7 linked regions of the Cricetulus griseus genome follow. The protein of the gene in region 1 interacts with the protein of each later gene in a pairwise test. Links are inferred from orthologs where the notes say so. Each region holds a gene or a part of one and is shown in the gene's direction. Other genes may lie near its edges.

Region 1 (4,227 bases):
TCCTGAGAAGGTGAACACAGCCAATCCATGTCCAAACTTTAAGAATGAGACTACAAGAGAAAGAACTAGTGTGTGTACCCAGCTTAGAAATCGCCCTCACAGAGCCCATTCCACATAGAGGGATACTCCCTGAGCCCAGACACACGGGGGCGGGCCTAGTCCCTATCCCAAAGGACACAATAGACTCTGATGACCCCCCCCATGGAAGGCCTCACCCTCCAGGGGGAGCAGAAAGGATATGTGATAGGTAGGGTTTTAGTTGGGGGGGGGGCTTGTAGTGGAGGAGGGCAAGGAGAGGGAACTGGGGTTGACATGTAAAACCATCTTGTTTCTAATTCAAAAAAAAAAAAAAAAAAGGAATCGACCCACAATTTTGACTTGGGGAGCCAGTTCCTGTGTACCCACTTCTGACCTGAATGAGACCTGCTGAGAAGTCAGATCTGTCTCAAGATCAAGATCGTCTCTTGAGTGGATAGTTGAAAAAGTGAAATAAGCCCTGTGGTTTCCCACACCTTCTGTTAGAGGGGACATCAGCGGTGCCCACAGGACATGGGGGCGTGACTCAAAGGACATGGAGAGGACAGGTCTTGGTGCACCGAGGGCAGCAGGGTTGGGCTACGGAGGGCTCCTTCTAAGTCAGTCCTTGGCTCTGGCTTGGTGGGAATTCGGAAAAGGCAATGATGCCTGCCTTGCAGTTGGCACATCCAAGTCTCAAGTTCCCTACTCTGCAGCCCTGCAGCAGCTCTGTGGCACGTGAGGCCGCCAGGAGGAGATGGATGGGCTCGGTGAACTGCGGCCATGGAGACCAAGAAGTGCGCGCGTGTCTGCGCATTTGCAGGAAACAGTCCATTCTTGGTTTTTTGTTTGTTTGTTTGTTTGTTTGTGCCTCAATCACCAGGTAGGACCAGGCCCAGAGACCCAGAGCAGAGAGGTCCTTAGGAGCGACTGACCTAGGGTGGGTTCTGTCGCCAGAAGCCACCCATCTTGTCACTCCTTGGGAGCATCCTTAGGACCCGGTAGCTCACGTCCGCCGTGCAGGAGGCGCAGCAGACCCGGAGCTGCCTCCGGTGAGGCTTGGGCACTTTGTTAACGCGCAAGGAGCCTCCAGGGCTGGTCCCTATGCGGTCCGGAGCCGCGGGGACAGAGAGGGTTTCCGGGCGGCGGCAGGCTGGCACCCGCGTCAGGTGGCCAGGCCAGGCCCCGCCCCCTCGCCCCGCCCTCTCTCCTCCCTGCGCACCGCACCGGGCTCCCGGTCCCCGGCCCCGCGGCTGCGGCTTCTGCTCGGAGGCTGCGGCGGCGGCGGTGGCGGCGGCGGCGGCAGGAGCGGCCATGGAGGCAGGCGGCGCGGGCCGGCGCGGGAGCGCGGGCTGGAGCTGCCCCGGCCCAGGTCAGAGCCGCCCCTCCCTCAGCTCCCCATGCTCCTTCCCCCTCTGCTCTCCTTCCTCCTGACCCCCGGGTGCCCGGGGTACTGAGTCGACTTCCTCCACCCCGGCCTCCATCTTTCGACCTGGGGGTGTCCCCTCCCTAGCGGTCACTCCTCGAGTGCTCCCCACCTCGTCTCTCCAGCCCGACCGTGCTTCCAGCTCGCCAGGGGCGGTGGAAGCAGCGGGGGGGGGGGTCTCGAGCCTGCACCCTTCCAGTTCATAAAAGCTCTTGACCAGGGGGTGAGGGTGGGCTGGGCGAGGTTTGGTGAGGGAGGGGAGGGGAGAGGAGAGGCCTGGGTTGGAGCCCCTTCCCTCCAGGTCCGGCCGCCCCTCCCTTCCCTGCCTTGAGCCACCCGCATCCTCCAAAAACCTTCTTTCTTAGTTCCCATCCTACCCCTCTTCTCCTTGTGCCCCAAGCTACACACTCACCCTCTTTCTGTCTGGGCGGGGAGAGGAGCCGGCGACATCCTGGATCAGGGGTGCTGAGGCTGGGCAGCGCCGCGCTGGGGTCCTCTCCTTAGGCAGAGCATGGGAGGTGGCGAAGGGAGTAGAATCACACAGCTGGACAGCGTGAGTCAGGCTCCTCCAGTGGGATTACAAATTTCGGGGCTCCCAGACAAGAATCCGCGTCCCTTTCTTTCCCCTCAGCCCCCAGCCTCTTTCCAATCCTACAGTGCCTACTTTCTCCTGCTCACAGGACCCACAGTAACCACTTTAGGCTCTTATGAGTTATCTGAGGGTTGTGAGAGGAAGAAAGGCCAACGCTGGGGGTCCCTGGAACGCCGTGGGATGCAAGCTATGGAGGGTGAGTTTTCTGTCGAAAAAAAAAAAAAAAAAAAAAGCTTTTCCATCTTCCATCACCCTACTCCCCAGTTCCCTTCCATCCTACTTCCTTCCCTGACCCCAGAGCTCTGAGGAGCCAGGATACGGCCCTTCCCTCACTTCATCTCAGGCCCCTCCTCCCTGGTGGCAGAGCTCCAAGCCTGTCCTGGGCTCAGGCATTGATGGAAGTTTGGGCACATCCCTTTGGGCTCCAGTCACCCAGCTAACCAGGTTGTGTGTCCTGGGGGAGCTGCCAGACAGACAGAGGTCCTGCTGAAAGGAGCCTGGAAGCAGCCTTTCAGCGGGGCGCTTGTTCTCACTGCCTGCTGACCTGGATCCCAAGCTGTCTCTTATTTTTAAAAGCCAGGACATGGGCGGGCGTGTGAACTGTCTTTCTGATGCCTCCACTGTCAACTTTGAATGGAGCCTTGCAGCTTTAGTAAGAGAGGCTTAGGAGAGATCGAAGTCAACTTCCCACCACCACACCACAGGACAGGGCAGGGAGGATCAACCAGGACTTCTTGTGAAGTGACCCCAGGCCCTTTTACAGTTCAGTACAGGCCTCCCCTAGAGACTCGATAGCATAAGGGGTCTCAGATGAACCATATGCTATTGGTATTAGAAAAAGAAAACCAGAGATTCAGAATTTAAAAACAAAGCAGTCTCCACCAAGACAAGATTGCTATTTACGGGAACTGCATTGCAGTAAAAGAAGTGCTCACCAATCCAAAAATGGGACCAGTACCAATTCAAGATTTTTGGTTTTTTTTGTTTTGTTTTGTTTTTGGTATTTGTTTTCTAAGACAGGGTTTCTATGTATAACAGCCCTGGCTGTCCTGGGACTGGCTCTGTAGACCAGGCTGGGCTTGAACTCACAGAGACCTGCCTGCTTCTGCCTTCCAAGTGTTAGGATCACACCTGGCTCAATTCAGTGTTTGGTTTTTTTTTTAATAATTTTACTTTTACTTTATGTGCATTGGTGTTTTGCCTGCATGCATGTCTGTGTGAGGGTATCAGGTCCCCTAGAACTGGAGTTACAGACAGTTGTGAGCCGCCTGTGGGTGCTGGGAATTGAACCCAAGTCCTCTGAAAGAGCAGTCAGTGCTCTTAACTGCTGAGCCATCTCTCCAGCCCCTCCAATTCAGTTTTTAAGATATGTCAACAGTACTGGAGGGATGGCTTAGCAGTTATCTTGTGTTTGATTCCCAGCACCCACATGGGAGCTCACAACCATCCTATAACTCCTATAACTGACCCCCAAGGCTACTGCATGCACACTATAGACAGACATACAAGCAGGGAAAACACCCAGATGCATAAAATAAATAAATATTTTTTAAAAAAATGTGTTTGGATGGCAGGCTTTCTTTTATGCATGAGTTCAGTTTCAGACTTACCCTGAAAACCAACTTGGGTCAGCAGGAAAGAGGTGGCACCCAACAGGAATAAAAGTTAGTGTAGAAATTTTCAAAGTCGGGGCTGGAGAGATGGCTCAGAGGTTAAGAGCGTGGACTGCTCTTCCAGAGGTCCTGAGTTCAATTCCCAGCAACCACATGGTGGCTCACAACCATCCGTTATGAGATCTGGTGCCCTCTTCTGGTGTGCAGATATACATGGAAGCTGAAATGTTGTATACATAATAAATAAAATCTTTAAAAAAAAAAAAAGAAATTTTCAAAGTTATTTGATAGCTTGCTTTTGAAAGGGTTCCCACATTTACCCAGTAAACAGCTCAGAGCCATTCCCTTCCAATGTTTTCCTTCTCCACTACAGGCCAAGCCAGTACTTTCCTATTATTAAAAGGCCACCTGGATGTGGGTTTTTTGCTTGTTGCCTTTCCAACCTTGCCCGATTTGGCCTAAATACGCAGCTGTGTCTGAATGTCTGAATCCTTTCTTAACTCCTTGTCCCATTACCCTGTGATCATACTGGAAGTTCCAGGTGTCCTTATGCTACCAACTTCTTGTAGATGAGCCAGGGT
Region 2 (3,526 bases), on another chromosome or scaffold:
TCATTCTATATGTCCTACTTTCCTGCTTCCTCCGTGTCTGTTTTTCTGGCCCCTGGCATCTCTTTTTCTTTCTTCCCTGAACCTAAATTATTCCTCCTATTTACTTTCCTTGCCCGGAAGTCCCACCTGTACCTCCTCCCTCACTATTGGCCATTCAGCTTTTTATTAGACCAATCAGATGCCTTAGGCAGGCAAGGTAAAACAGCAACACATCTTTACATAATTAAACAAATGCAATACATCTCTACATAGTTAAACAAATATTCTGCAACATATATGTGGATTCAATGTCACATCTCTGTATGGCCTTCTAAATGGAAGTCTGTGGGTAAGGTGTTCTAAAAGACACAAAGGAGTCACTTGTTCCTCTTACAGAGAGCCATCACTGCTGTAATGACTTGGGCCTCCTTTTCAGTTCTTCAAGATAAGAGTGAAAGCAAACGAGATCGTGTGGAGTCAGACCTTGGGGAAACTGTATAGAAGGCTGTTGCCTTCGCATCTTTCCGGTCCCCCTTCCGGCATCCCTCTCTCTTGCCTTCCGTCCCACTGCTTTAGTGATGTCCTTTGTGCCCACAGAGACAGTAACACACAGAAACCTGGTACCACAACCCTGGAACCATTCTCTGCCTTCTCCTGGGCTGTAGTGTGTTCCCTGGGAACCTATGCTTAGCCACCTATAGCTAGTAGAACTCAGGTGTGGAGGACTTTGTACTTGTGTGTTAGCAACTAAGAATGGCATAGCCTTCAATATTTTAACAGAAGAATCATGAGTATAGTATTTTACAGTAAGACAATGACTCCATCCAGAGCTGAAGTTAAAACACTATGACTTCTGTTGCTGAAACAGAAGGGAGTCTTTCCAGGAAACCTCACAACCACATCATGTACTTCATACAGCTCTCTGCCTAGGGATGGTCAGCATCCAGGCAAGACGCTGGTATATCAACCCTCCATCCACACATGCTTCTGTAGGACAGTGATTTGTAAAATCTCTGAATATTACTCTATTCGTTATGCTTGTGGCCAAGAAAGAAAAATGTTATTTTCATTTTACACCCTTTTAAGACTATAACAAGTAAAAAACAAAAAATGTTATGATTGTGTTTGGGTAAAGATTATACAACTTGTACCCTTTCTTGGAATTGCATAGAAGAAACTTTGGATAGAACAATAATCACAATTTTAGAGTTACCCAATCTATGCATTTTAGAATTTGAATAAGTATTTCAATAAGCCTTTTATTGTGATAAATTTAATCTTTAATTTAAAATTGCCTCCTAAGCAAATAAACACTTGTTCCTAGCACCAATTCTTTACTTTGCTATTAGTATCATCTAAAAGAATTCCCGGTCTTGGAGCTCTAGTTCTGACCCGTAACCTTTTGCTCAACACCCGCACCCATTCGCTACTGTGACCTTCTTCTCACATGCACAGTCTTCCCTTCAGAGTTGTCCCAGCTCAAGCATTCTCTGTCCCTCATTCATTGGAGCAGTGAGCTTCCTGAAGGCAAGGCTGTTTTACGTGTTACTCGGCTGCTTGGCTATCAATGTCAGCTGTGGATCCGGTGGTCACTGAGTAACTTGCTGGATTGAACCTTTTGCCGTAATCTTTAAGCCACCAATCTAGTCATCTACTTTGGGGTATATTTATATTAATTTTTACCAAAAACATTAGATTTTCTTTTCTCTACAGGTCCGTAAGCTGCAGCAAAAAGTTCAGAACTCAAGGATAAATGAATCTTCATGTGTCCTTCAGGAACATGACAACCCTAAAGGACCAAAGAACATTAAAACTAGCTCCAGGAAGGGTTTGAATGAAACTAACCCTTTACAGAAAAACAGCAGCTTTCGTCCAGTACAAGTTCACAATCTGCAGGTGAAATTGAGGAGAGATGACATCAAGTGGGAGCAGTGACATTAGCAGAACTGTTGCCTTCAGTGAGCCTCACCAGTGAGACCTACAAGTCTGTGTAGAGTGTATATTCAATATAGCTGGGAAATTTTCAATTATGTTTGGGCTTCTGTGAAATGTGAAGTTGTGTATGTTTAGAATAATGGCTAATGACCTACCAAGAATCCCAGAATAATAAATGGCTGATTTTTGTTGTTGCTGTTATCCAAAGGCCCCTGCCCTCATCAAGTGCTAGAAGCATTCATTTTGCAGCTCCCTAAGGTCAATCTAAGAAGGGGGCTGAATGGCCACTCATTAAGATCTAGTTAAACCTGAACTCCGAGTGCCATTCCACAGGTTCACTTAGGTAGGCTGCTACCTGCAGATCACCACGGAGTGAACAGAGTGCTGTGACTTCCCTGAGATTGCCACTGTACCTCGTTTTAAGTCTCAGCAGTGTTCGTGTTTTGTTTGGAGAGGGAAAAACACAATCATTCTGCATTTTGTTGAAATGCCTGTGCTGAGCTTTGCTGTGACAGCTGTGAGAAGCAATGCATAACTGATGACATCTTCAAGACACTGATTCTCCTCTGCTTTTCCAAGCCTGCTTTCCTTTTAAACACCAGGACCTGGGTTCATCCTACTCTTCTGTAACTTTTCCTGGTTTCTTGTTTGTGTTATATGTCATTTTCTTTAGTATATGACAATGTACACGACCAAGAAAAAATGGGATTTCCTAAGAAGTTAGGCATTTAATCAACCTTATCCACAAGAGAAAATGAATTCAGTAAATGTGCTATCTTTTTATACTTCAGAATCAGTGATGTCACAATGGATTTCTTTGTTGTATACATATTTTATAATAAATTGACACTTTTTGCCTTTCTAGAAGCCTATGGAATTAAGTATGGAATTAATGTCTTTGGGACACTTACATTTTTATCTTCTGGGACAATTAAAAAACTGATGTCATCAACTGAAATAGAAATGGAAACCAGACAAAAAAACTACAGTAAAGGGAAGAGCTTGGGATTAGGGAGGAGGTGTAAGAAATGGGCCAATTTCAAAGGGTCAATAGAGTGTTCATGTTCCTGAATTCCCAGTGGATGGGGACTATGCAGTTTGGGTATGTAAGCCCAAAGAGCTGCTTCAAAACAAAACAAAACATCCTAGCCTCACAGAGATCAACTTGCCTCCACCTCCCAAGTGCTGGGTTGGTGTTAAAGGACTGCATTGTCACCACCCAGCTTTCATTTTTTGAGACAGTAGGCCAGGCTGGCCCTGAACTCACTATGAAGTTATTGGTGTTGAACCGGCCAGTCCTCCTGTCTATACTTCCCGCATTTGCAGCCATTCCTGGCCATAAAAGGCAGTTTATTTATTTTACCTATATATTTGAGTATAAGTAGCCCTGGCTGGCCTGGATCTTACAGACATCTGCCTGCCTCTGCCTCCTGAGATCTGGGATTAAAGGAATGTGTCACCATGCCCCACTTAAGGAAAGCAATTTTTAAGGACAATCTATTTTCCTAGGAAGCCTGCATCAGAAGGTGTGTATAAGAGAAATAGGGTAACTCTGGACCTTCTGGGGAAGAGGAAAACTGACTCATTTGTTTTATAAGTGCCCAGTTAGAAG
Region 3 (3,754 bases), on another chromosome or scaffold:
AAAAAAAAAAAAGTGAAACAACCAGGAGAGTTTATTTGAGTTTTGCTTGCATTAACAGTGAGTAGCCACATGCAGACCTCAGTGTGTGTGTGCAGCTCCTCAGGCCTGTCTCTGCTTCCACCCTGCTGTGTCTCCCTTTCACACAGTTCTTCCAGGCCACAGTCCCCTGCTGTCTTCAGTGTAGATGACATAGGACCTGTTAGAGAGTCTGTGGGGGAGAGAATGAGCCACGGGTGTTCTGTCTGAAAACTGCCCACTGTTCTCCTAGAGGGCATATGTTTATAACACACTGGCAGTTTTACAGCCTGAGTTTTAGGTTTTCATTTATGTTAGGATCATGGGCCTTTTCCTTTGTATTCAGTAAGATCAGGTGGTCCTTCAGCAACCTGCCCTTCCAGACACAGCTCAGTCTTGCGAAAGGAAACACTGCTGTTTTCCTGTGGTGGAAGCTTACATATTCTTTAACTGTACATTCTTTCTTTCCACAAATATGTACTGGACATCTGTTCTTGGTCAGGCTCCTTCCTAGAAGCTGAGAACAAGAAAGAACCCTGCAAATAAACTCTTGCCTTTGTACAAACCCTTCTCCAGCTGGAGCAGGCCCGGGTATACAGATCAGCCAGGACGGGGCAGATGGTGTGAGTAAACACTTCTGGAGAAATGAAGTGGAGAAGAGGACTCAGTGAGTTGGGAGAGTGGCCATTCCAAAGGGGATAGTCCACGAAACCTCTCTGGAGGTGGTGTTTGAGTGGAGAGTGGGCGAGTATGCTGTGCAGACTTCTGGAGTGCGAGCATTGAGAAAGGGGGCAAATGCAGGGCCTTGGGGGAACTCTGCTCATCCCCCCTGCCCCCATCATTTTTTTAAGATTTTTATTTATTTATTTATCTATTTATTTATTTATTTATTTATTTTGTATACAACATTCTGCTTTCATGTGTATCTGCACACCAGAAGAGGGTACCAGATCTCATAATGGATGGTTGTGAGCCACCATGTGGTTGCTGGGAATTGAACTCAGGACCTCTGGAAGAGCAGCTGGCGCTCTTAACCTCTGAGCCATCTCTCTAGCCCCCGCCCCCATCAATTTTTATTTACGTGAGGCAGTTGTCTGTGCAGGTCTAAGTGATTACCATGTGTGCGCAGTGCCTGTGGAAGCCAGAAGAGGGCGCTATATCCCTAGAACGGGAGTTAAGAATTGTGAGTCACCACGTTTATGAACCTGGGACCTGAACCTGGGTCCTCTGCAAAAGCAACAAATTCTCCTAAGCAACTCATGTGACATACATTAAATAGGTCTTTGGCCCTATGAGTTGTTGATAACAAGTTTCTACATTTCATTTGTTTTCTAGAATTTATTCCAAGTGGGACAACACCAGCCTCTCAAAAACTTTAAAAAAAATAGCAACAAAAATCTGAGGCTAGATAGATGGCTCAGTGGTTAAAGCACTTGGTGCTCTTGTAGGGACTGGGATTTGGTTCCCTGCACCCACACCAGGCAACTCACAACCACTTGTAACTCCAGCTTCAGGGGATTGAACCCCCAGCTCCATGGGCACCTGTACTCACCCATGCACACAGGTATGCACATAATCTTAAAAATATGGCCCTCTGTCCATCCATCCATCCATCCATCCATCCATCCATCCATCCATCCCCTCCTTTCTCGTTGTGTTGGGAATAACCCCACAGTCTGGTACATGCTCAGCAGACACCTTACAGCCAAGGCCCTTCTGCAGCCCAAGGTATGATTTGTAATGGACTCTTCTGAATTTTCCCATTGGAAAGGCTCAACAGACTTATTTTATGAAATCATATCATTATTTGAGGAAGGGTTTCTCACTGGAATCTAGAGATCACTGATGAAGCTTCAGGTCCTGTCTCATCTCCCCAATGCTGGGGTCACAAACTTGTGTCACCACGCCTGGCTTTTTTATGGCTTCTTATGCTTGCATGGCAAGCACTTGACCAACTAAGCTGCTTCTGTAGCTCTAGAAAGTGAGGTTTTTATCTCTTTAAAAAGAACAGAACGATGGGTAAAAGGGATGAGAGAAAGTCCAGTCAGAACCCTCCAGTCCTGACTTGTATGTGGAGTGTCTCCTGCATGCAAGTGTACATGCAGTATTTCTCCACGCTCACTTCTCCTGCCCAAACTGTCTGCCATACACAGGTGTTACTTTGCTTGCTGCCCACAGCAGTGACCCTTCTGAAACTCTCTTTGCCCCGTGTCCTTCTCCCCTCCAAGGTCATCCCAGCCTGGGTCCTTGGAAGAGCAACTGAGAACTGTCCCTGGGCCTGCCCTCTCTCCACTGCACACCCTTGGAGCCCCGAGGCAGGGACCCCTCAAGAGCTGGCTGTAGGTACAGGAGAGTAGCTTCTCTCTTGTCAGCAAAGATGCACAACTCAGAAGAGGCTTCTGGTTGAAATCTGCGTAGCAGTGTCCCATTCTGTCTTCTGCAGTGTTAAGTGTCCCAACTTGAATATTTACTGTCAGTTTTCTAGGTACCTAACCATTATAAAATGGATTGAAGCCAGGCTTGGTGGAACACACCTTTAATCCCAGGGAGCAGAAGGCAGAGGCAGCCTGCCTGGGCTACAGAGTGGGACATATGTAAGAACCAGCGTTTGGATCAGCATCAATTGTTTATTTCATTTAAAATAGCATATAATGGATTTCTCCTCCCATCAGGCTAGTGGTAACAGCTTTCCCAGGGAAAAAGAAGATGTGACAATCCAGGACATTGTGGACTTTTCTGATGTTTACCACTCTAATGAAGAGTATTTCAGGAAACTAAGAGAGCTAAAGGCCGCCCATGCAGAAACCATGGCAAAATTAGAGAAAATGTACCAGGACAAGCTAAATATAAAAGACGTCTGGCCAGTGATCACCAGGGAAGATTATTCTAGTGTCTCCTCTAGGTAAGTTTGTGCTCGGTGTCATCTGAGGACTGACCTAAGATAAATATTTAAACTAAGTATGAAACAAAATATCCTGGAGTATTTGCTTCTAAATATCAGGTCCTCAGCAACAGTGAGAGCCTGTCTAACATACATTTGGGGTTTGATCTCCAGCATGGTTTGGAAACAAAATTGAACTTAAGGATGACACTCTTGCTGAAAATGCTTTCCTGCCTCCCACCAAAAACTGAGCATGACCTCCTGTTTCTGAGACGCTGGAGTGTCATGTCTTTGGGTGTCAGATCTCAGGCAGGCCTGGCACACAGGAGATAGACAGACTAGGTCCTTCCTAGTATTAATGATATATAGAGGTGGGATTTTATTCAAAATGTTTAATGGCTTATCAGTTTATTAAGTTACCTCTTGCTTTGAGGGTCATTTAGTGGCCATCTGTTTGCTTGTTTGTTTTTATTGTAATTTAATGTGTTTTTCCTGCATGTTTGTCTGCACCACATGTGTGCCTGGTGCCCATGGAGACTTGTGAGCTGTCATGTGGGTGCTGGGAATTGAACCCAGGTCCTCTAGAAGAGCAGCCAGTGCTCTTAACTGCTGAGCCATCTCTCCTGCTCCTTCACCTGTATTTTCTCGCTTTACTTATGCTTACAGATATGTAGCAAAATATTTAGTCTGGGCTGCTTTGCTTATTTACTCTTTTTTTTATTTTTGAAACATGATCTTTACTATATATAGTCCAGGATGGGTCTTAGAACTTACCATATTCCCTTATGACCTCAACTTTCAGCAGTCCTCCTGCCTCAGCTTCACAAGCACTGAGGTTACAAGCATGAGCCAGCATGC
Region 4 (4,359 bases), on another chromosome or scaffold:
GGGGCTGGCAATCTCTGCTGTCCCGGTGCTCTACAGTATCTTCTTGTAAGTATGAGAGGTGCCCGTTCCCCGTTGCGTTCATCACAGGGTCCTCACGCTGGCTGGCCCTGCCTGATCGAGCCCAGTGTGTCTCTGCCCGCAGGATCCCACCTTCTAAGCTGTGCGGTCCATTCCAAGGGAAGATGTCCATTTGGGTCCACATCCCGGAGTCCATCGAAACCCTCCCTCAGTCCGCCCAGAACTTTCTCTACTTTCTGGGGACGCAGGCTTTTGCTGTACCCCTTCTGATCCTCTCTTGGTAAGTGGTTCCAGACTTTATGGTCGGAGTTTGGATATGTGTGGTTTAGTGTTGGGGGGTTGGGGGCTGCTAGAGAGGAGGGCTGCTGCCTGGGTACCTATGGCATGGAAGACAACTGGGGTCTCCCTAGATCTGGTTTGGGGTCTGGATTCCCGGGTCTAAGGAAAAGAAGTCTGGGTTTGAACACTGGGTCTAAAGGAGGTCTGCAGTCTAGACCCCTGGTCAGAGGGAGGAGGGCAGAGGTATGGACTCCTCCTGGTCTGAAGCAGAAGCCAGTGGCCCTTGGGGGTCCTGATCCTGGTTTCTTTTTTGGGGGGGGGTTCGAGACAGGGTTTCTCTGTGGCTTTGGAGATTGTCCTGGCACTCCCTCTTGTAGACCAGGGTGGTCTCGAACTCACAGAGATCCGCCTGCCTCTGCCTCCCTTAGGGCTGGGATTAAAGGTGTGTGCCACCAGCACCGGGCGTGATCCTGGTTTCTAAGGAGCCATATGATGAAGGGGTGTGTGTGTGTGTGTGTGTGTGTATTTATTTTATTTTTCTGAAGTAACTTTCATCCCTGTCTTCCTTAGCATCCTGATGGTGTTTACAATAGCCCTGGCTAACTCTTACGGACGCCTCATTTCCGAGCTCAAACGCCAGATAGAGACGGTGAGCCATGGTGCTTCCCCGGCCAGGGCCCCCTGGGAACCTGGGAAGGACTCGGGTGTAGGGTGTAGAGTAGGCCTGCCTCACTTCCACCCCCTTTCTTTTTTCTTGCCCTCAGGAAGCGAAGAATAAAGTCTTCCTAGCCCAGCGAGCTGTGGCTCTGAGCTCAGCGAACGGAGCCATCTGACCACCCGAGACCCGTGGTTACACCTCCCTATCTGGTACCCTGTGGTCTCTGGATCGAGTCCTCCGCACCCCACCCCACCCCACCCACCCCAGTGCCACACTCTCAGTTGCACCGTTATTAATAAACAACAGCTTTGCATTTTGAAGCCGGGTCCTGAAGCTGGGGACAGGGTTTAGGGAGGGGCCTGATCCGGGTCCCGGGTTGTGTCTGCGAGCAGAGGGCTAGACAAGGCGGGGCAGCATCAGCCCTACACGGCGGCGTCCGGGGTGGAGCGACCCGGGGGTGGCAAACGTTTGGGATTGGCTGTGATGGAGGGCCTCTTAGCCAATCACCCCTGGATAGGGTCATAAGTGGGCGTGGCGTCTGGCCGGGAACCAATGCACAGGCGAGGGTGGGGCCACGGGGCGGGGGCACCCTCGCGCCAATCGGAAGTGTGGGAGTCGGGGGCCCGCTGGCTCGGAGGTCGGCGGGGGGACCATGAATATCTTGCCCAAGAAGAGCTGGCACGTCCGAAACAAGGACAACGTCGCCCGCGTGCGGCGCGATGAGGCCCGGGCGCGGGAGGAGGAGAAGGAGCGTGAGCGGAGGGTGCTGCTCGCCCAGCAGGAGGTGAGCCTGGGCTGGCCCGGAAGCGAGGCGGGCCTCGCTGGGTCGGTGGGTGACTCGGTGGCAGCCGCGGGTCTGTGCTTGCTGACGCTTCTCCGCAAATCCTTTGCTGACTTGCGCGAAACCGTCCTGGATCCCCTTCCCCCCCCCCCCCTGGTGTGGCTGAAGTGACCGCAGGCTAGCACGTCGGAGTGGGACGGCTGCCCCGATCACTTTGGAGATCGTCCGCACAAGTTAATTACTGAGCACCCACTGTATGCGTGCCCCCCCTCCTGCAGAGCGCTAGACTTGACACGACCCTCTTAGAGCGACTTGGAGTTGCAAAGGCTTCAACGAGGAGGGCAAAGGGCGGGCAAGCCGGAGTGCACTCCGTTAGACCTCTTCTTTCTCCACCATTGCTCCCCCAAACACACCCAGAGGCTGGCTTGCTCTCTCTCTCTCTTTTTTTTCTTCTTTCTTTCGGTTTTTTGTTTGTTTGTTTTTATTTTTCGACACAGGGGTTTCTCTGTATTGCTTTGGAGGCTGTCCTGGCACTCACTCTGGAGACAGGGCTCGAACTCACAGAGATCCCCCTGCCCCTGCCTCTGCCTCCCGAGTGCTGGGATTAAAGGCGTGCGCCACCAAAGAGGCTTTCTTTGAAACAGGGTCTATGTAGCCCGGGCTGCCCTGGAACTGGCTATGTAGACCAGGTTGGTCTCGAGCTCTGAGATCTCTTGCCTCTGCCTCCTGAATGTGGGATTGAAGACCACGCATGCATGCACAGGCGTTAGTAATTACTCAATCATGTTAGTTTACAATTAAGTCCCTTGGCCAATCTGATCATGAAGTAGTGTGGGTATTTAAAATTTCGGAAGTAGCCGGGCGTTGGTGGCAATGCAGAACCTACCTGGGATGGGAGTGACACGGGCCATCACTAATGTGTTTGGGATGCTGACCTGGAGCCACACCTGGGGTTCAGATCTTTTGTCCAGAAACTGTGTTTGGCTTCCTAATAAGCTGTATTTGGGAGTTTGTACATGTGTGTGCTGGGCATACACTAAGCAGGGGCTCTATGGGTGAACAAGCCACCTCTATACCTTATAGCTGAGTAGTTTTTGTTTTTTTAGATTTTATTTATTATGTATACAGTCTTCTGCCCACATGCCAGCAGAGGGCACCAGATCTCATTCAAGGTGGTTGTCAGGAATTGAACTCAGGTCCTCTGGAAGAACAGTCAGTGCTCTTCACCGCTGAGCCATCTCTCCAGCCCCTAGCTGAGTGGTTTTTGATAGCTGTTTTTCTTGCATGACTCCAGGCTGTGGAAACCCTTCTGTTTTAGGCTGGGATCTCCCCAAATATCCCTGGTAATCCAGTTAACTGTTTAAAAACAACCATTCTCGTCGGGTGGTGGTGTCGCATGCCTTGAATCCCAGCACTTGGGAGGTAGAGGCAGGCAGATTCTCTGTGAGTTGGAGGCCAGCCTGGTCTACAGACTGAGTTCCAGGACAGCCAGGACTGTTTTACAGAGAAACCTTATCTCAAAAGCCAAACCAAACAAAAACCCCATTCTCCACTTCAAATTAGAAATGGTGTCTTTTCTGGCTCCCAGTACCTCTACCCCCGCCCCCCCCACACAATTTTTTTTTTTTTTTAAACCTTTTTCCAGATAGCTTCTCTCTATGTAGCCTTGCCTGCCCTGGACTCTGTAGACAGGCTGGCCTCGAACCCACAGAAATCCACCTGCCTCTTTCTTCCTCCTGAGTGCTGGGATTAGAGGCGTGTGTCACCACCAGCCGGCTCATGGCCCTTCCTTGGAGCCCCCAGCACTTCTACGTTCTGAATGTCCTGCCTATAACTTTCTTCACAGGCCCGAACAGAATTCCTACGGAAGAAAGCCAGGCACCAGAACTCACGCCCTGAGCTGGAAGCAGCAGAGGCAGGCGCTCCAAGTTCTGGCCCTGTGGACCTGTTTAGGGAGCTGCTGGAAGAAGGGAAAGGAGTGCCCAGAGGCAATAAAGAGCATGAAGAAGAGAAGCGACAGGAGAAGGTAAGCTGCTGGCCTCTGTTGGCTGATTTCGGTGGGGTGGGGTGGGGCGCTACCAGCTGTGACTAACAGCTGTTTCTTATGTTAACCTTAGCTAGTTTATTTTGAGATGACACCTCAACTACACAGACAGGCTGTCCTCCAGCTCACAACCCCCTCCGGCGCTGGCCTCCTGAATGCTAGTCGTCAGCATCTGTCGCCAGATGGCGCTTGTGCTTCTCACATTGTGAACTGTACTGTGGCTCTCCTGCATCCCACTGAAACCACTCCTCTGCTTTGCTGCAGTTTTTCCTTAGACGCCCCCTGCAGATTAGCCATCAGCACTTTTGCGTAGCTGGCCCCTGGTCTGTGATTTCCCTTGTTGAATACCCACCAGCCCCTGCCTCACTGGGAACTCAGGCCCTGGGTTTCCCTACTGCCACATGCCATATCTAGGGCTCCCAGAGGGACTTGGGAAGACTATTTTGTTTTCTTGCCCCCACAGGAGAGGCAAGAGAAAGCACTAGGCATCCTGACGTATTTGGGCCAGAGCGCAGCAGAGGCTCAAACGCAACCTCCTTGGTACCAGCTCCCCCCAAGGCAAGGGGGCTGCCCTCCAGG
Region 5 (4,464 bases), on another chromosome or scaffold:
CTGAAGACAAAACTCCCAAAATCAGAAAGGTATGTGTGTGTGGGGGCACTGCGAGGTTGTGATGTGGGGGGTGACTTCTCCGAGCAAGGGCCAGAAGGTTGGATTTGGAGCTCCTGTAGTCTGGGATCCGGGCTTTTTGTTTGTTTTTGGGACAAGGGCTCTTACAGCCCAGGTTACCCTCAAACTGGATATATATCTGAGGATGACTTTGAACTTCTGATCTTCCTGCCTCTGCCTCCCAAGTGCTGGGAGTACTGGCAGGTACCTGTGATGCCTGGTTTTATGCAGTACTGTGGCTTCTTTATGATAAGCAAACACTACCAACTGAACTTATCCCCAGCTCAGGGAATGAGGATTTCTAGGGCTGGGTTGTGGGGTCAGTGCCAACCCCACAAGTGAGGACCCCTCAGTAATGAACACATCTTTGATCTGTTTTTTTTTTTTTTTTTTTTTTTTTTTTTGTTACCATAGCTCCCCTGCTGGCGATCTACTGGATTTTCCTCTGGAAGGAGCCATTGTCTGAGCAGATTTGTGGGTTGCTCCTGCCACCTACAGGCTGCTGTTGCTCATCACTGGGACGACTAGTTTTGTGGATAGTCCCTTCAGCATGGTTGAAGGCCATGGGGCTTTACTGCTTGTGCTGTTGTAGGGTCCTGCAAGCATCAACTCAGTGCTCAAACACAGGGTTAGAGCAAGGGCCAAGATGCCAGGACAGGGCAGAATTAGAGTTGGTATGGGAGCTGGAGAGCTGCGCTTCTGAAAAAGCTTTGTTACCTACGAGGAATTCAATACTTTTTCCTTATGGTGAAGATGTCACAACTGATTAAATGGCCATCCCAGGCCATTTGCACATTCCATTTGCACCCTGGCCTTGTGGCTACTGTGGGTACAGTAACTGTCTTTTGGTACCGGCACACCTGCAACCATCAGCAACACAGAAGAGGAGAAGAGTACCTCTTTTCCTTGCCTGGGCATGGTTATGATGTTTCCCAGTACCTGAGCCCTGCCCTATTCTCAGTGTACAATGTGAACCGGATGATCCCGCGCTTCAGGTTGGGAGATGACTCTTAGAGCAAAGAACAGAACCTGGGATTTACACCCTGTTAGGTTGACTTCAGCGCCTGAATTCTTGCCCAAGAAGCCCTCTCAGAATCCGGGACCGATACCTCCCAGTGTGCGCTGCATCTGCGTAGAGTCAAGAACGACCCAAAGTTGGCTTGGTAACGATGTAAGTGGGGTTGGCTGAGAGGTCCCGACGCCACAGCACTTCTACGAAGTGAAGGCGACCGGGGTGGACTAGCCAACGATCAATGCATCACCAGGGCAAGCGGCTGAGATGGGTTGAATTAAAGACCATATTGCAGTATACTCCTCCCCTCAAGTCCATCCTCTCCCTGGCATTCGGAGGGCGTGTGGGCGGTCGCTCCGCGGATGGCGGACATTCGGAGGAACTACCTTTTCCAGCGGGCCGCGCGCCACACGCCGCACAGTCGTCTGGGAGTTGTGGTCCCGGGGGCGGAGACTTTTTTTTTTTTTTTTTTTTTTTTTTTTGAGTGTGTTGCACGCGGCCGCCTGGCGGAGGTTTGGACCGCGCATCTAGGCGGCGGCGGCCGAGGTCTGGCCGGGTGGCGCAACCGGCGCAACCCGCCGCCACCGAGGTGGTGATGGGCAAGGAGGAGGAGATTGCGCGGATCGCCCGGAGGCTGGACAAGATGGTGACCAGGAAGAGCGCGGTGAGGGGCGCGGGCCGCCAGGACCCTGGGGCCCCCGCTCCGTGGAAACCGGCTGAACCCACCCTCGGGGAGAATGATACTCAGACTAGTTGAGATCCCGGCCCCAGGCCCGCCCTCTACCGTGGGACTGCCGCTTCGCACTGGACGCCAAGCTGACTTGGGAGCCGCCCACTGCCCCCTCGCCCAGCGGTGGTCGCGGGCGTTCTTAGCCCAGCCGTTGTCTCCCATGTCTGCCCCCACCCTTCAGAACTAGGTTTCTTTAATAAATTTCCCTTCCTGTTTAGTCAAGCCTCAGGCAGCAGCAAGTCGATGTGGCCAGACTGTAGATTTCGAAATGAACCTGTGTCCTTGAGACCCTAGGAGACCGACTCTGCCCCTCACCTTGCCCCAAGGCACTGTGGGCTTGGCCTACAGTCTAGCCTGCCTTCCTACCCTGGCCACCCTTGTAACCTTTCGGGAGCATCCTTAGGGAATGATGGCACCTGCCTGCATCTTGCCTTCCGTGGGTGGGAAGGGACCAGGAGGTGGCCTTAAGGCTAAGTATGACCCGCCCATCCGCGGCACCAATCCCAGGGCAGCACAGATGGGGGCTGAGTCATGAGTCTGTATAGCCTCCCCATAACTGTGCTTGAAGTGGAGGGCTGCAGGACAGCTTTTGAGGACCAGCAGGATTGTCCTGGGTTCCTGTTGGCCAGGGTTGGGGGGCTAAATCCGGAAGAGAGTTAGGTTCCCCTTTATGCCCCAAACAGCCACATTCTGTAATAACGGGTGCAGAGGCCTGCTGGTGCTTCTTTCCTCTAAGGGTGTTAAACCCAAATGACAAAATTGGAACTGAGGGTGGCAGAGATGGGGTGGGAATCTACAGGGGCTTGGAAACTGGCAGAGACACAGCAAGAGTGGAAGGCCACAGACAGGACTCTATAGTGGAGAAGGGAAACGGCAGAAGTTCTGGGAGGTAGCAGCAACCTGAGAGGCTCCTTGGAGCTGCTGGTGATTTGTTCGGGCCTTCTGGGTGGGAGTACAGAGCTGTTGGGGATGAGTTCCCCTGGCTCCAAGGATCAGGTCTTCTCAGCAGGATCTGCTTTAGGGCCATGAAACAAGGCTGCAGTCTGAGCAGATAATTAACATAGATTGGAGGTCAGCCCCAGGCTCTCCCACTGTCTCTACTGTGGAAGGTTTGAAGGGCTGGATGGGTTTTCTCTGCCTCTTTGAGGCATGTAAAGACACATGAGTTCATAGTGGTAACCTGGAGAAAAGCAATTGCAATAGTGTCCGATGTTGGAAGAGTCTGTCAGCTGTGGGAAGGAGGTGCCTGAATAAAGCTTCGAAGTGCTAGGGAGAAGAGCAGTCTTAGGCAGAGTGAGGGTTTTAAGGTAGGAATAGGAGGAGCCTGCCTTTGAGGTGCAGCCTGTCTGTAGATACTGAAGAATAGAGCTTGGGCAGAGGCAGAAAATCAGGGTTGTCTGTTACAGTACCCAGGAGAAGTGCTACACTGATGGATGAGCACTTTGAGGAAAGGCATAGATGGACTAAGTCTAAGGAACCTGAGTTATATCTCTTGAGTGTCCTTCCATGTTGAGCAGAAACTGGGATTTTTTTCTCTAGTAGTTTGCTCAGTGACCTGGTGTGGTTACCATGAGGTCTGGAGGTCACCACAGATGCAGGGTGAGAAACCACCTGATCTTTGAGGAGAGCACTATTAAGCTGTTTGTCTCTAGTCTTGCCCTAGTGCAGGGGCAGTAAAAAGCCGCTGTTGTGGTAGTGTGTGCAGTGCTCTGGTCTTCTCAAGGTAGAGGAGTGGCTTCTTTCTGACATGTAAATTGTCCCCCCATATGATCAGGAAGATCCACTAAGGTTTAGTCTTTTATGAAGGTCCTCTTTCCTTCCAGGAGGGAGCCATGGATTTGCTTCGGGAGCTGAAGGCCATGCCTGTTACATTACACCTGCTCCAGGTAAGCTCTTCTGCTTCTGGTATAAGATGATTCCAGAGACAGTAACCAAGAACATCTAGCAGAGTTCCTTATATGACTCATACAAGGCTTAGTTGGCATAAACAACTGCTCTAAGGAGAGGGCTTCTGATTCTCTCTGGTGATCATTGAAGTGGGAGGGGGCCCTCTGGGTTCCAAGTGAGATCATAGCCATTGGGGAGAGAGGTCTTTCTGTCCCTGCCCATTCCCCAGCCCTTCCCTGTGGGAGCCAAGTGACGATCTGCCTCTGGAACAGGTCCCTACCACCTCTGACCCAAGCCACTTGCCTTGCAGTCCACCCGTGTTGGGATGTCTGTCAATGCCCTGCGGAAGCAGAGCTCAGATGAAGAGCTCATTGCACTGGCCAAATCCCTCATCAAGTCCTGGAAGAAGCTCTTGGGTACGGGTCAGAATGTGAAGGGTGGCTCTTGCTGCTCAGCACAGCATAGAGTGATGACTCTGCTGCTCTTACTCAGGCTCTCTGGTTGTGGGATACAAAAAACAGGCCAGAGAGTACTCATCCCTGGTCTGGAAGTGGATGAGGATGATGGAAGATGATGTCATCTGTTGTGATGGGGAGGGGATGGCCTGGGAGGCGTGACCATTGAGACAAGTGTATATGCTGGGGAGGAGATTTTCAAGCTGCGGGAGGTCAACAGAAAAGGAGGTCCAGGTCAGCATGCTCCAGATGAAGGAGGAGGAGGTGGGGCTGCTACCTCTGCAAGAGGTAAGCTAGGCAGACAGCATCTGTTTGTGGGGACA
Region 6 (4,482 bases), about 31 Mb from region 1:
AGCGCCATCTTCATGTAACGCTACAGGGCCTGTCCCACAACGGTATGCTCCTGCTGGCTGTTATAAAACACCTCAGATTAGGCTTCTCCAGAGCTTGTGTCTGACCTAGTAGCAACTGGATGGAAGAACTGTGGATGCCAGGCTTCTGAGGCTGCCTTGAGCTGGGAAGGAATGCCTAGGTCACTAGAACACCGCCTTAATGGGAACAAGGAGGTTCAGCAACCCTGGACACTTGAGTCAAGTGTGAGCATAGTGCTAGAATGTCCACTTTACTGATGACACCCCAGCGCCTCCCTCCTAGCCCTGTGTGAGCTAAAGCAGCCGGGCAGGTTAGTCCTGCACAGCTCTCATGGGCAGATCAAACCGGATCCTGCTTGTCTGCTCTACCAGAGATTGACAGGGACTCTGGGAGGCAGGTATGGAGTCCCAGAGGCTCCCCTACTCATGCCATCCTGGGGCTGCCTGCTCACCGCTTACCTTGACTGCTGTGGTCCTCCAGGCTGACCCGCCAGTCGTCCCCTTGGAGCTCAGCGTGCAGCAATGCATGGACCCCAGAGATGAGGCCCGGCTCCTGCTGGGGCCGCAGGGCCACATCACACAGGTCAGCCCTGCAGCCCAACCGATAGGTGCAGCCTGACCTGGACGGGGGGTGGAAGGTGTAGAGATCACCGCCCCTGCCGCCCCCTATGCGCAGCAGCTGGAAGCAGGGCAGCATGGGGGGGTGCTCCCCTCTGCACCGCTTCTCAGCAGTTCATCACCTCTCCTACTCCCAGGCCATGCACCGGGGGCTTCGGTTCAGTTGTCTGACGTCAGCAGCCCCACTGTGGGTAATGCCAACTTGAGAAACACAGATTTCCAAGAGCGCCAGAGGCCTGGACACGCATGCAACCGCTGTAGCTAGCGGCTGTCAAGATGAGACTTCAAAAGCAATTCCGGAGAAGCCCTTTCGCGATGCAAAACCAGGAAGACGTCCTGTGGGACCTCCGTGATGCCGGGTCCTCAGGCCGCAGAATATCCGGGGAGGCTGTAGCAATCTGTTCAAGGCAAAGCTACTTTAAGCGGCAGCTGGGGACACCCCAGCGGGGTGAGGAGGTCCCGCTACACGGACGTGCGTGCGACACGAACGTGTCCCCTCGAGTGTAAGCAGGAGCCGGGAGGGAAGCCTACAGGTCAAACTTCCTAATCCAGGTAGAGCACCCCTTCTGTCCTGCCCCGAGGGAAGGGAATCCGCTGTCACCCACAAAGGGCGGCGCAGACAGGTCCCTAACTCTGCAACAAGGTGGAGCTCACCCTCTCCTCTTGCGCTTGCGGGGTGCCCCGAAGAAGGACTCCACACCCTGTGCCCCTCGCTCCCGCTGCGGTTTGACAGCCAGGAAGCCGCCCTCCGGAGGGCGCGGCTCGGGCGGGCGAGCGGGCGAGCCGGCGGGCGCGCACCGCGCAGACTCCTCCTACGGAATTCCCGGGTCCAGCTTCGCGCCTGCGAGCCCGCGCCCCTCCCCAGGCTGTCTCTGATTGGCCATCTGACTCGCCCTCCTCCGCTGTACTGGACGATGCGCAGGGAGGGGCCGTCCATCTCCCGCCCTCCGCCGTTTCTGATTGGCCTGCAGGTTTCCCGGGTTCCCGGGATGGGGCGGGGCCGCCAGGGCGCGGAGAAGGCCTGGAGGAGTCAGTGTGCCTGCGTGCGCCGTTCTTCTTCCTTCCTCCTTCCGGCAGGCGGGGCGAGTTGGGGCTTTAGAGCATCCCGCCAACCCCACCCGCCGCGCGCATGCGTGCTCAGGGCGGGAAGCCTAGCGGGGAAGCCAGGGGCTAAGGGGCGTGGCAAGAAGGCGGACCTCGCGCTGGGTAAGGAGCGTTCGGCCGGAGTCGGTTGGTTGGGGGCGGAAAGGGGCCTGAGAGGGGGTGCTCAGGAGGGTGGAGGGGGTCCACAGGGCAGGAGGGGTGCAGGAGCCCGGTGAAAGAACAGATGAGGAGGTCGGGGCAGCCTTACAGCTCAGGGTCCTAGTGAGGGGGATGAGCCCGTGGGTGTGTGCAGGAGAGGAGAGGGCAGACCTGAGGACAGCGAGCGACCGGGACCATAACGTCAAGAAAAATGCAGAGTAGGACTAGGAAGAGAAGCGTGTAGGGATCTCGTTGAGTGGAAAACAAACAAACAAACAAAAAATTTGAGTTCGGACGGGAGTTGGACAAAGAAGATGCTGCAGGACTCTGAGCAGCGAAGGGCTTCGGGAATGGAAGCAGAGGGGATAGAGAGAAACTGAGGCCCGCTGCAGGGAGACTCCGATGAGATAACAGGAAGCTGGCTGCCTGGCAACGCGCTCCAGGCTGCTTGCATTCCCTGGGGATCCTAGGGAAGCCGCTTAACCCTACATGAGGCCCCATTCTTCTGGTGCCAGGCCTTGGGCTAACGCTTTTGTAGGAAATGACCCAGAAATCATGGCGCGGTGGTGCCTAGATGGGTTTCCCAACGTCCCTACCATACCATGGCGAGAACTGTGGAGACGGGGTTCACAACAGGCCCGCTCACCTCCAGACCAGAGCTACAGGGATCGTAGACACTTAAGGAGGAAGGTAAAGGCACCACTCACAATCCTGTAGTAGAAGCAAAATCCCCAAGAGCATCCCCTGGCCCCCATCTCGGTACATTTACCCCATGATTGTTGCCTGGTTCCTTTGTCAGGAGCGTGTGTTCGGGACAAGCAAGTCTGCCTTGTTAGGGAAGTAGGGAGAGAGAAGCTCAGAGCTGGGCAGATCTGTCAGTAACTGAAGGATTGTGGCTTTGTTATTATAGGACTTCCTCTTTGGAAGGTGGCCTGAAAACTGAACTGGAGTCTCCTTGTTTCTCCTACTGTCCAGGGGAACCTACACTCTTGCGGACAAGATCGAGAGGCTTCAGATAGAGTGGAGATGTTGTCTCCCTCAGGTCAGTAAGGCCAATCAAGGAGGCTGGGAAGTCTCTCTGTGTCTCTCTGCCTCTGTCTTTCTCCCTCTCTCCCTCCCTCTCCTCTCTTTCTCTCCCTCTCTCTCTCCTTCCCTTCCTCCCTCCCCCTCCCTCCCTCCCTCCCTCCCTCCCTCCCTCCGTCTTCCTCTCTCTCTCTGAGAAACTGACAGTCTTTACTCTTGTGACCCACCCCCTCAGGTTTTGCTGGACTGGTTCCTCCCTCCCACTTCCAAGCTCGGCCGAGAATGGCCCCGACCTGGGCTTCAGACATTCCCCAGTTCCAATCCACATTTGACCAAGATGTCCTAGAGAGGCGGCAGCTGGACTCTCAGAGGCCCACAGTGACCATGAGGGAACAGGATGTCTATGGAGATGGGCAGGGGCCAGGGCAGAGAGGCAGGTAGGGATCTGTCAATCACCTTTTTCTCAGACTTGCTAATGATCCTTTATACACACATTCCTTTATTTCAGCAGCCCTGGGTTCCATAACTTGTGTGGTTTTCTGTAGGCCATTGTTGGTACCTACACTGCATATACCATTATGCCCTGGAGAAAATCAAGAGAGAGGAGAGAGAGAGAGAGAGAGCGCGCGCTCTGGACTTAAATTCCCAATTAACAAGTGTTGCTAGAGTTTCTTTTCCTCCAGGTCCTGCCACCGCTTCAGCCCCAAATAAACACACAGACACTATATTAGTTATAAAACAGTTGGCCAATGGCTAGGGCTTCTTGGTGGCTAGCTCTCTCTTCATCATTAACCCACTTCTATAAATCTATGTATTTCCACGTGGTCTTGGCTTACCAGAAAATGCCCAGACCTGTTACTCCTTTGGCAGCTACATGGCATCTCCTCCCTGCATCTCTCCCAGGGTTCTCCCTGTCTCCCTGCCCCACCTATCTTCCTGCCTCTTTTGGCCAAACAGTGTTTTATTCATCAACCAATAAAAGAAACATATATACTGAAGGGCATCCCCCATCATCTCCTCTTTTCTGTCTAAATAAAAAGAAGGGTTTACTTTTACTTTAACATAGTAAAATTATATATAACAAAAACAGTTATCAAGTAAAAACATATAGTTAACAATAAAGAAGGAGTGTAAATGTCTGAGGGAGGAGATGGATTGCCCAGAAGCCATTGTGAAACGAAGTGACATGCTGGCTCTTAGTTAAAAGGGCCTTTCCCGGCATACACCACTGGAGCTGGCTATGCTCGGCATATGTGGTTTAAGATTTTATTTTTGAGCCGGGCATGGCCTGCCTTTAATCCCAGAGAGGCAGACAAGCAGGCAGATCTGAGTTCAAGGCCACTCCCTCCCTGGTCTACAGAGTGAATTCCCTGACAGCCAGGGCTACATAGAGAGAATCCTGTCTGGGGAAAAAAACAAAACAAAACAAAAAAGATTGTATTTTTATTTATGTGCATGTATCTGCATGTGAGCATGCCCACCTGGAGGCCGAAAGAGGGTGTAGGATTCCCTGGCACTGGAGTGACAGGCACTGTGAGCCATTGAATGTGGGTGCTGGGAGCTGAACTGGGGTTCTCTGCA
Region 7 (4,274 bases), on another chromosome or scaffold:
CATGCAGGCATACATGTAAGCAGAGCACTGTATACATAAATAGGTAAATCTTTTTAAAAAATCAAGAGGGGGGAAAAATTCAAGATTTGCCTTGGCTTTTTCTTTAAGAGGAAGCCCAGCAGAGTTAGCATTTCACTTTTGTTTTTACATGTGTTTGTTTGTACGTGCACATGTAGCAGTCAGAGAACAAACCCACATGAGTTGGTTCTCTCCTTCCACCTCATGAATTCTGGAAAGCAAACTGAGGTTGTCAGGCTTGGTGGCAAGTGCTTTTATCCACTAGACATCCTTATGGCCAACTTCTGCTTTTTCTGAAGAGTTCAGAGAATTCTTCCCATTGACGTGGTTACCAACTCCAGTCATCATTCACCACTAGCCCTACACAAATAAAAAGAGCAGGGTGCCTTTAAGAGTGACTGATTCCTTAAGGATATTATCCAACTAATCAATAAATAAATAACTTTTAGAAGTCAGGTTTACTTAAGATTAAAATACAAGTTGCCTCTCTTTTTATTCTAATGCTAATAGCATAAAATATTTATCCTTTATTGGGGCAAGTCACCAAATGAACCACCATACTGTGCTGGAATTTACTACCTATCTGTATGTGTTCTCCCTAGGCTTCAGCTACATCGTGCAGCAGATGGCTATAATAGTGGTTCTCATTTTACAGGACCACTAAAAAGATTAAGTGAGAAAACTAATGCATGCAAAATACTCGTCACAGTGTCTAATAAGTAATGCACTAAATAAGTAGCCCATAGGATGAGTTGTTTGAATGGAAATGTGATAGTATCATGTCGAACAGACATAATCTTCCTTATCTGTTTATTATTGTTGTTATTATTGATTTATCTGCTAGGATTTTTATTATTTATCTGATCGATTGGGCTCCGTAAATATTGTTATGACATGTACTTGATTGTTCGTTTAAATAAATGCATTTTTAAATATAAATAAATAAAATGAAAGGGTAGGCATAAAGAAAAGAGCCTGTAGAATAGATCATTCCCGGCCCGGTAGGAAAGCGTGGAGGAACATTAAGCCTTCCCTAAAAGCTGAAAGCTGATATGCCGCCTTCTCCCGTGACGTGACCGTCTGTCTCAGTCCTTCCAACCGCCCGGACCTGTTACATTCCAGTCCACTTCTTTCCTTGCGCCACCGGCTCCAAACAGGCGTGCTTTTGCTGCACGTGGTTCTCTGTATATAGTGGTTGCCTGGGAGATTCACGCAGGGCGGGGCCCCATTGACGCCACAATAGGAACAAGCCAATAGCCATGACGTATATCAGTGATGCGAACTCGGGGTGTGGCTTTCCCGGCCCGGGCGCAATGAGGCGGCTGCCCGCTGGGTGGCGCCGATTTCCCGGGGAGGTCCTTTCTGGGCCCCCGGCGGAGGTGGGGGAGAGGCGGGCAAGCACCGAGCGAGGCCAGGGAGCCCTCTGCGTCAGCCACAGCTCGCTGCGCCGCGCCAGTACCAGCCAGGACTCATCCGCAGCTCCATGCTTGTGCCGGGTTCGACTCGTCCATCCTCCGAGAAGAGGCAGGTACGTGCCACCTGTCGCAGATCGGGGAAGGGGAAAGCCGGGGTCGGTGCCAGCTTGGAGGTTCGGAAAGTAGGGTGTCAACGACAGCCTGGGCAGTCTGGACATGAGAAATGTAGGGCGAGGGCCAACTGTGCGGGGGAACTCCAGCTGTGGGTGCCAGTGTGTGAGAGGGACTGACAGCTGACAGCTCGGGGTGCCAGGAAGAGCCATCTGTGTGCTGATCAATGTGTTCTGAGGAAACAGTTACCGCGGGTACAGGTCCCCGTGCCCGGTGTGGTGTGTAGCCTGAGAATGACGCCTGGACCCTGACACCCCCCTCTCCCCACGTGTGCGTGCAGCTACCTCCCTCCCTGATGTCAAACCTCCTGGGGCTGTCTCTGGTCAGTTTTCCAAAGCGGGGGAAGGGGGCTCAGGGGGAAGCCAGCAGTTAAACGGAAGGGAAATTTTCCACCAATCCCAAATCAGAAAGAGGCAACTTTAAAATTCTCACCAATCCCAAAGCAAAAGCAGCCATGCAGTGTTCCCAGACAAGCAGCTTGCCAAGCGGAGTCCTGGCCAAGCCCTTCTAGCTCTTCAGAGAAGGGAGAACTCTTAGCTCTTGACCCCCAGTGCTTTTGAGAATGAGGTTGCAATGAAGATCTCAGTAGGGGCTGCTTATCTCTCCAAATGTAAGGAAAAGCACACACATCAATCCGCCTACAAAACAAGAGGCATGGAGAACTAGTAGGTGGGCTAGAATAGAGGGTGTCCCCTACTCTTTGATGCTGTAGGTGCAAGCCACTCTGGAATGAGGACTGGAATGAGGGCGTCCTCTGGAGTGCATAGTCAGGACCCAGTCTGAGTCAGTACCCCGTGCTGAGACAGGGTGGAGGCACCAGCCCTGGGGCCTTCCAGTCTTCAGGGAGAGCCATCAAGAAACAGAAGAATCGTCTTGGGAGCAGACAGGTGCACCAAGACCAGAGAGTCCCTCCTCTAGTAATCCCTGTCCAGCCTGCCTTTGCCGCCCTGGAACCCTGAGTCCTCCAACAGGTAGACTGGGACTGCCCCTCTGGAGCTAGGCATTTTCCTGGCAGCCCAGGGAAACCGCACTTGATATTTTTTTCTGAGCAAAGGGGAAAGAAGCCCAAGTAGGCTTGGCCTATCGCCTTGGGAAGGTGGCAAGATTCGTCTACCCTTTCCATTTTGGGGACTGGGCTAGTTCAGAAAACCACAGGACTGGTCTCTGGCATCAGAGCAATTCCCCGAGGGGGTGCCCTGAGGCCTTTTTCTTCTAGGAAGGGTCACCTTCTAGGAAAGGTTGCCTGCTACTGCTAACATTAGTAGTAAGTAATTAGATAAGAAATGGAAATAATCAATAAGATTGCCATTTATTGAACTCTTGCTATGTTCAAGGAAGCTTAAAACTATGATTTTTGTCCTCATCACTGTGAGGCATACCATAATCACTATTGTTGTTATTCGTAGTTTTTTTCGTTTGTTTGTTGGTGCATTCATTTGGGTTTTTGTTTGTTTTTGGTTTTTTCAAGACAGGGTTTTTCTGGGTATCCCTGGCTTTCTGCTTTGTAGACTGGTGGTCCTTAAATTCATAGATCTTCCTGCCTCTGCCTCCCATTGGGATTAAAGGCCTGTGTGCCACCAGCCCTAGTTCTATTGTTCGGGTTTTACAAATTACATAGCTAAGATTCAGAGAGCCTACCTTAGATCCAATAAGGGGAAGGATGGGAATTCAGGCCCAGACCTAGAGGTCCACAATTAAAAAAAAAAAAAAAAAATAGTGGACTGAAACTTGAATGCTGATCCCAAGCACATCTCTGCCCATGTGTCCTGGAGCAGGTCCTCCCCATCTCAGAATCCCTTGCAACTGGACTCGCAGTTTGGCCTGTTCCTGTTCACTCAGTCTGTGACTGACAGCTCTAGAGAATCCACCTTCTCCATGTTTGGGACTCCAATTCAGCCCCAGCCCTCTGCTCTATTCCCTCTTGATCCTTCCTGTTTTAGTTCCAAATATCCCCTCCCAGGATTCTAGCTGGTTCTCCTCAGCTATCACCCGGCCACTGGGCATCAGGTGGAAGGTGGGCATGTCACTGCCCCTTTAATTCTCCTGGGGCTTGGAATGCAAGTGAGTTGCCATCTCTTCGAGGTCAGATAAGATACTATATATATCTAGCTAGTAACCTGAGCTCCGGATTACCCAGCCCCAGTTAGACTCCAGCTTCTGGACTCTACACTGCGGTCCCATCACTGCTGGGAAAGAAACCCCCAGCTCCCATCCAGTGCTCCTGGACACAGGTCAGTAGCTCTCTCTTTGGTCTCTGAGTTTCAAGGGCAACCGAGTGACCCAAGTAAGCCCTGAGTGAGTTTGGAGGAGCATGATAGACGCCACCCACTGGCCTGGTGATCGCAGTAACCAAGCCTGAATGCTCAAGATAGAGAACAGAGGACAGCTGATGCCCTAATGGGAAAGAGATAGGATTCTGTCCAAAGAAGGGGGCACTGGGAGGGTACCTGAGCATAGGAGGATAAGAAAGAGAATTGAAAGGTATCTCTGCTTCCAGGAAGCCTGTTTCTTTGCCTTTTTTTGGACTTACAGAGATAACCACCCTTCCCAACCCCTGGGCCTACCCACTTCTTCTCCACAAGTCAGGGTGGCTATTGTCATCTCTTTCATCTCTGATCTCTTTATCTTACCTCCTCATCTCCCATCCCCCTCCCCAGGTTTTGAGGCACC

The links.
Region 2: the proteins of Ccdc136 (region 1) and Cep57l1 interact in binary tests that used the Homo sapiens proteins (3 or more experiments, as listed by UniProt). The two-hybrid records come from large-scale screens. The link is inferred for Cricetulus griseus from reciprocal best matches to the Homo sapiens genes CCDC136 and CEP57L1.
Region 3: the proteins of Ccdc136 (region 1) and Fam161a interact in binary tests that used the Homo sapiens proteins (3 or more experiments, as listed by UniProt). The two-hybrid records come from large-scale screens. The link is inferred for Cricetulus griseus from reciprocal best matches to the Homo sapiens genes CCDC136 and FAM161A.
Region 4: the proteins of Ccdc136 (region 1) and leukocyte receptor cluster member 1 homolog interact in binary tests that used the Homo sapiens proteins (3 or more experiments, as listed by UniProt). The two-hybrid records come from large-scale screens. The link is inferred for Cricetulus griseus from reciprocal best matches to the Homo sapiens genes CCDC136 and LENG1.
Region 5: the proteins of Ccdc136 (region 1) and Tcea2 interact in binary tests that used the Homo sapiens proteins (3 or more experiments, as listed by UniProt). The two-hybrid records come from large-scale screens. The link is inferred for Cricetulus griseus from reciprocal best matches to the Homo sapiens genes CCDC136 and TCEA2.
Region 6: the proteins of Ccdc136 (region 1) and Cchcr1 interact in binary tests that used the Homo sapiens proteins (3 or more experiments, as listed by UniProt). The link is inferred for Cricetulus griseus from reciprocal best matches to the Homo sapiens genes CCDC136 and CCHCR1.
Region 7: the proteins of Ccdc136 (region 1) and Usp2 interact in binary tests that used the Homo sapiens proteins (3 or more experiments, as listed by UniProt). The two-hybrid records come from large-scale screens. The link is inferred for Cricetulus griseus from reciprocal best matches to the Homo sapiens genes CCDC136 and USP2.

Annotation. Positions count from the first base shown.
Region 1 is NW_023276806.1:198,421,255-198,425,481, reverse strand, and holds the start of Ccdc136 (coiled-coil domain-containing protein 136), read left to right. Parts: upstream 1-1,277; 5' UTR 1,278-1,329; coding exon 1,330-1,387; intron 1,388-2,121; coding exon 2,122-2,229; intron 2,230-4,227. UniProt on the Homo sapiens protein: May play a role in acrosome formation in spermatogenesis and in fertilization.
Region 2 is NC_048595.1:264,118,316-264,121,841, reverse strand, and holds the end of Cep57l1 (centrosomal protein CEP57L1), read left to right. Parts: exon of another isoform or gene 1-1,692; coding exon 1,693-1,914; 3' UTR 1,915-2,781; downstream 2,782-3,526. UniProt on the Homo sapiens protein: Centrosomal protein which may be required for microtubule attachment to centrosomes.
Region 3 is NW_023276807.1:83,747,943-83,751,696, reverse strand, and holds part of Fam161a (protein FAM161A), read left to right. Parts: intron 1-2,492; exon of another isoform or gene 2,493-2,609; intron 2,610-2,687; coding exon 2,688-2,917; intron 2,918-3,754. UniProt on the Homo sapiens protein: Involved in ciliogenesis.
Region 4 is NC_048602.1:21,581,523-21,585,881, reverse strand, and holds the start of leukocyte receptor cluster member 1 homolog, read left to right. Parts: upstream 1-1,538; 5' UTR 1,539-1,607; coding exon 1,608-1,739; intron 1,740-3,582; coding exon 3,583-3,762; intron 3,763-4,243; coding exon 4,244-4,359. Other genes in the region: Tmc4 (transmembrane channel-like protein 4), read left to right, coding at 1-45, 143-298, 868-946, 1,062-1,130.
Region 5 is NC_048599.1:226,791-231,254, reverse strand, and holds the start of Tcea2 (transcription elongation factor A protein 2), read left to right. Parts: upstream 1-1,542; 5' UTR 1,543-1,664; coding exon 1,665-1,733; intron 1,734-1,807; exon of another isoform or gene 1,808-2,454; intron 2,455-3,622; coding exon 3,623-3,685; intron 3,686-3,996; coding exon 3,997-4,102; intron 4,103-4,464. UniProt on the Homo sapiens protein: Necessary for efficient RNA polymerase II transcription elongation past template-encoded arresting sites.
Region 6 is NW_023276806.1:229,456,490-229,460,971, forward strand, and holds the start of Cchcr1 (coiled-coil alpha-helical rod protein 1), read left to right. Parts: upstream 1-1,535; 5' UTR 1,536-1,550; coding exon 1,551-1,842; intron 1,843-1,848; exon of another isoform or gene 1,849-1,866; intron 1,867-2,393; exon of another isoform or gene 2,394-2,416; coding exon 2,417-2,568; intron 2,569-2,788; exon of another isoform or gene 2,789-2,853; coding exon 2,854-2,920; intron 2,921-3,136; coding exon 3,137-3,338; intron 3,339-4,482. Other genes in the region: Tcf19 (transcription factor 19), read right to left, coding at 478-715. UniProt on the Homo sapiens protein: May be a regulator of keratinocyte proliferation or differentiation.
Region 7 is NC_048597.1:155,764,827-155,769,100, forward strand, and holds the start of Usp2 (ubiquitin carboxyl-terminal hydrolase 2), read left to right. Parts: upstream 1-1,404; 5' UTR 1,405-1,546; intron 1,547-4,274. UniProt on the Homo sapiens protein: Hydrolase that deubiquitinates polyubiquitinated target proteins such as MDM2, MDM4 and CCND1. Isoform 1 and isoform 4 possess both ubiquitin-specific peptidase and isopeptidase activities.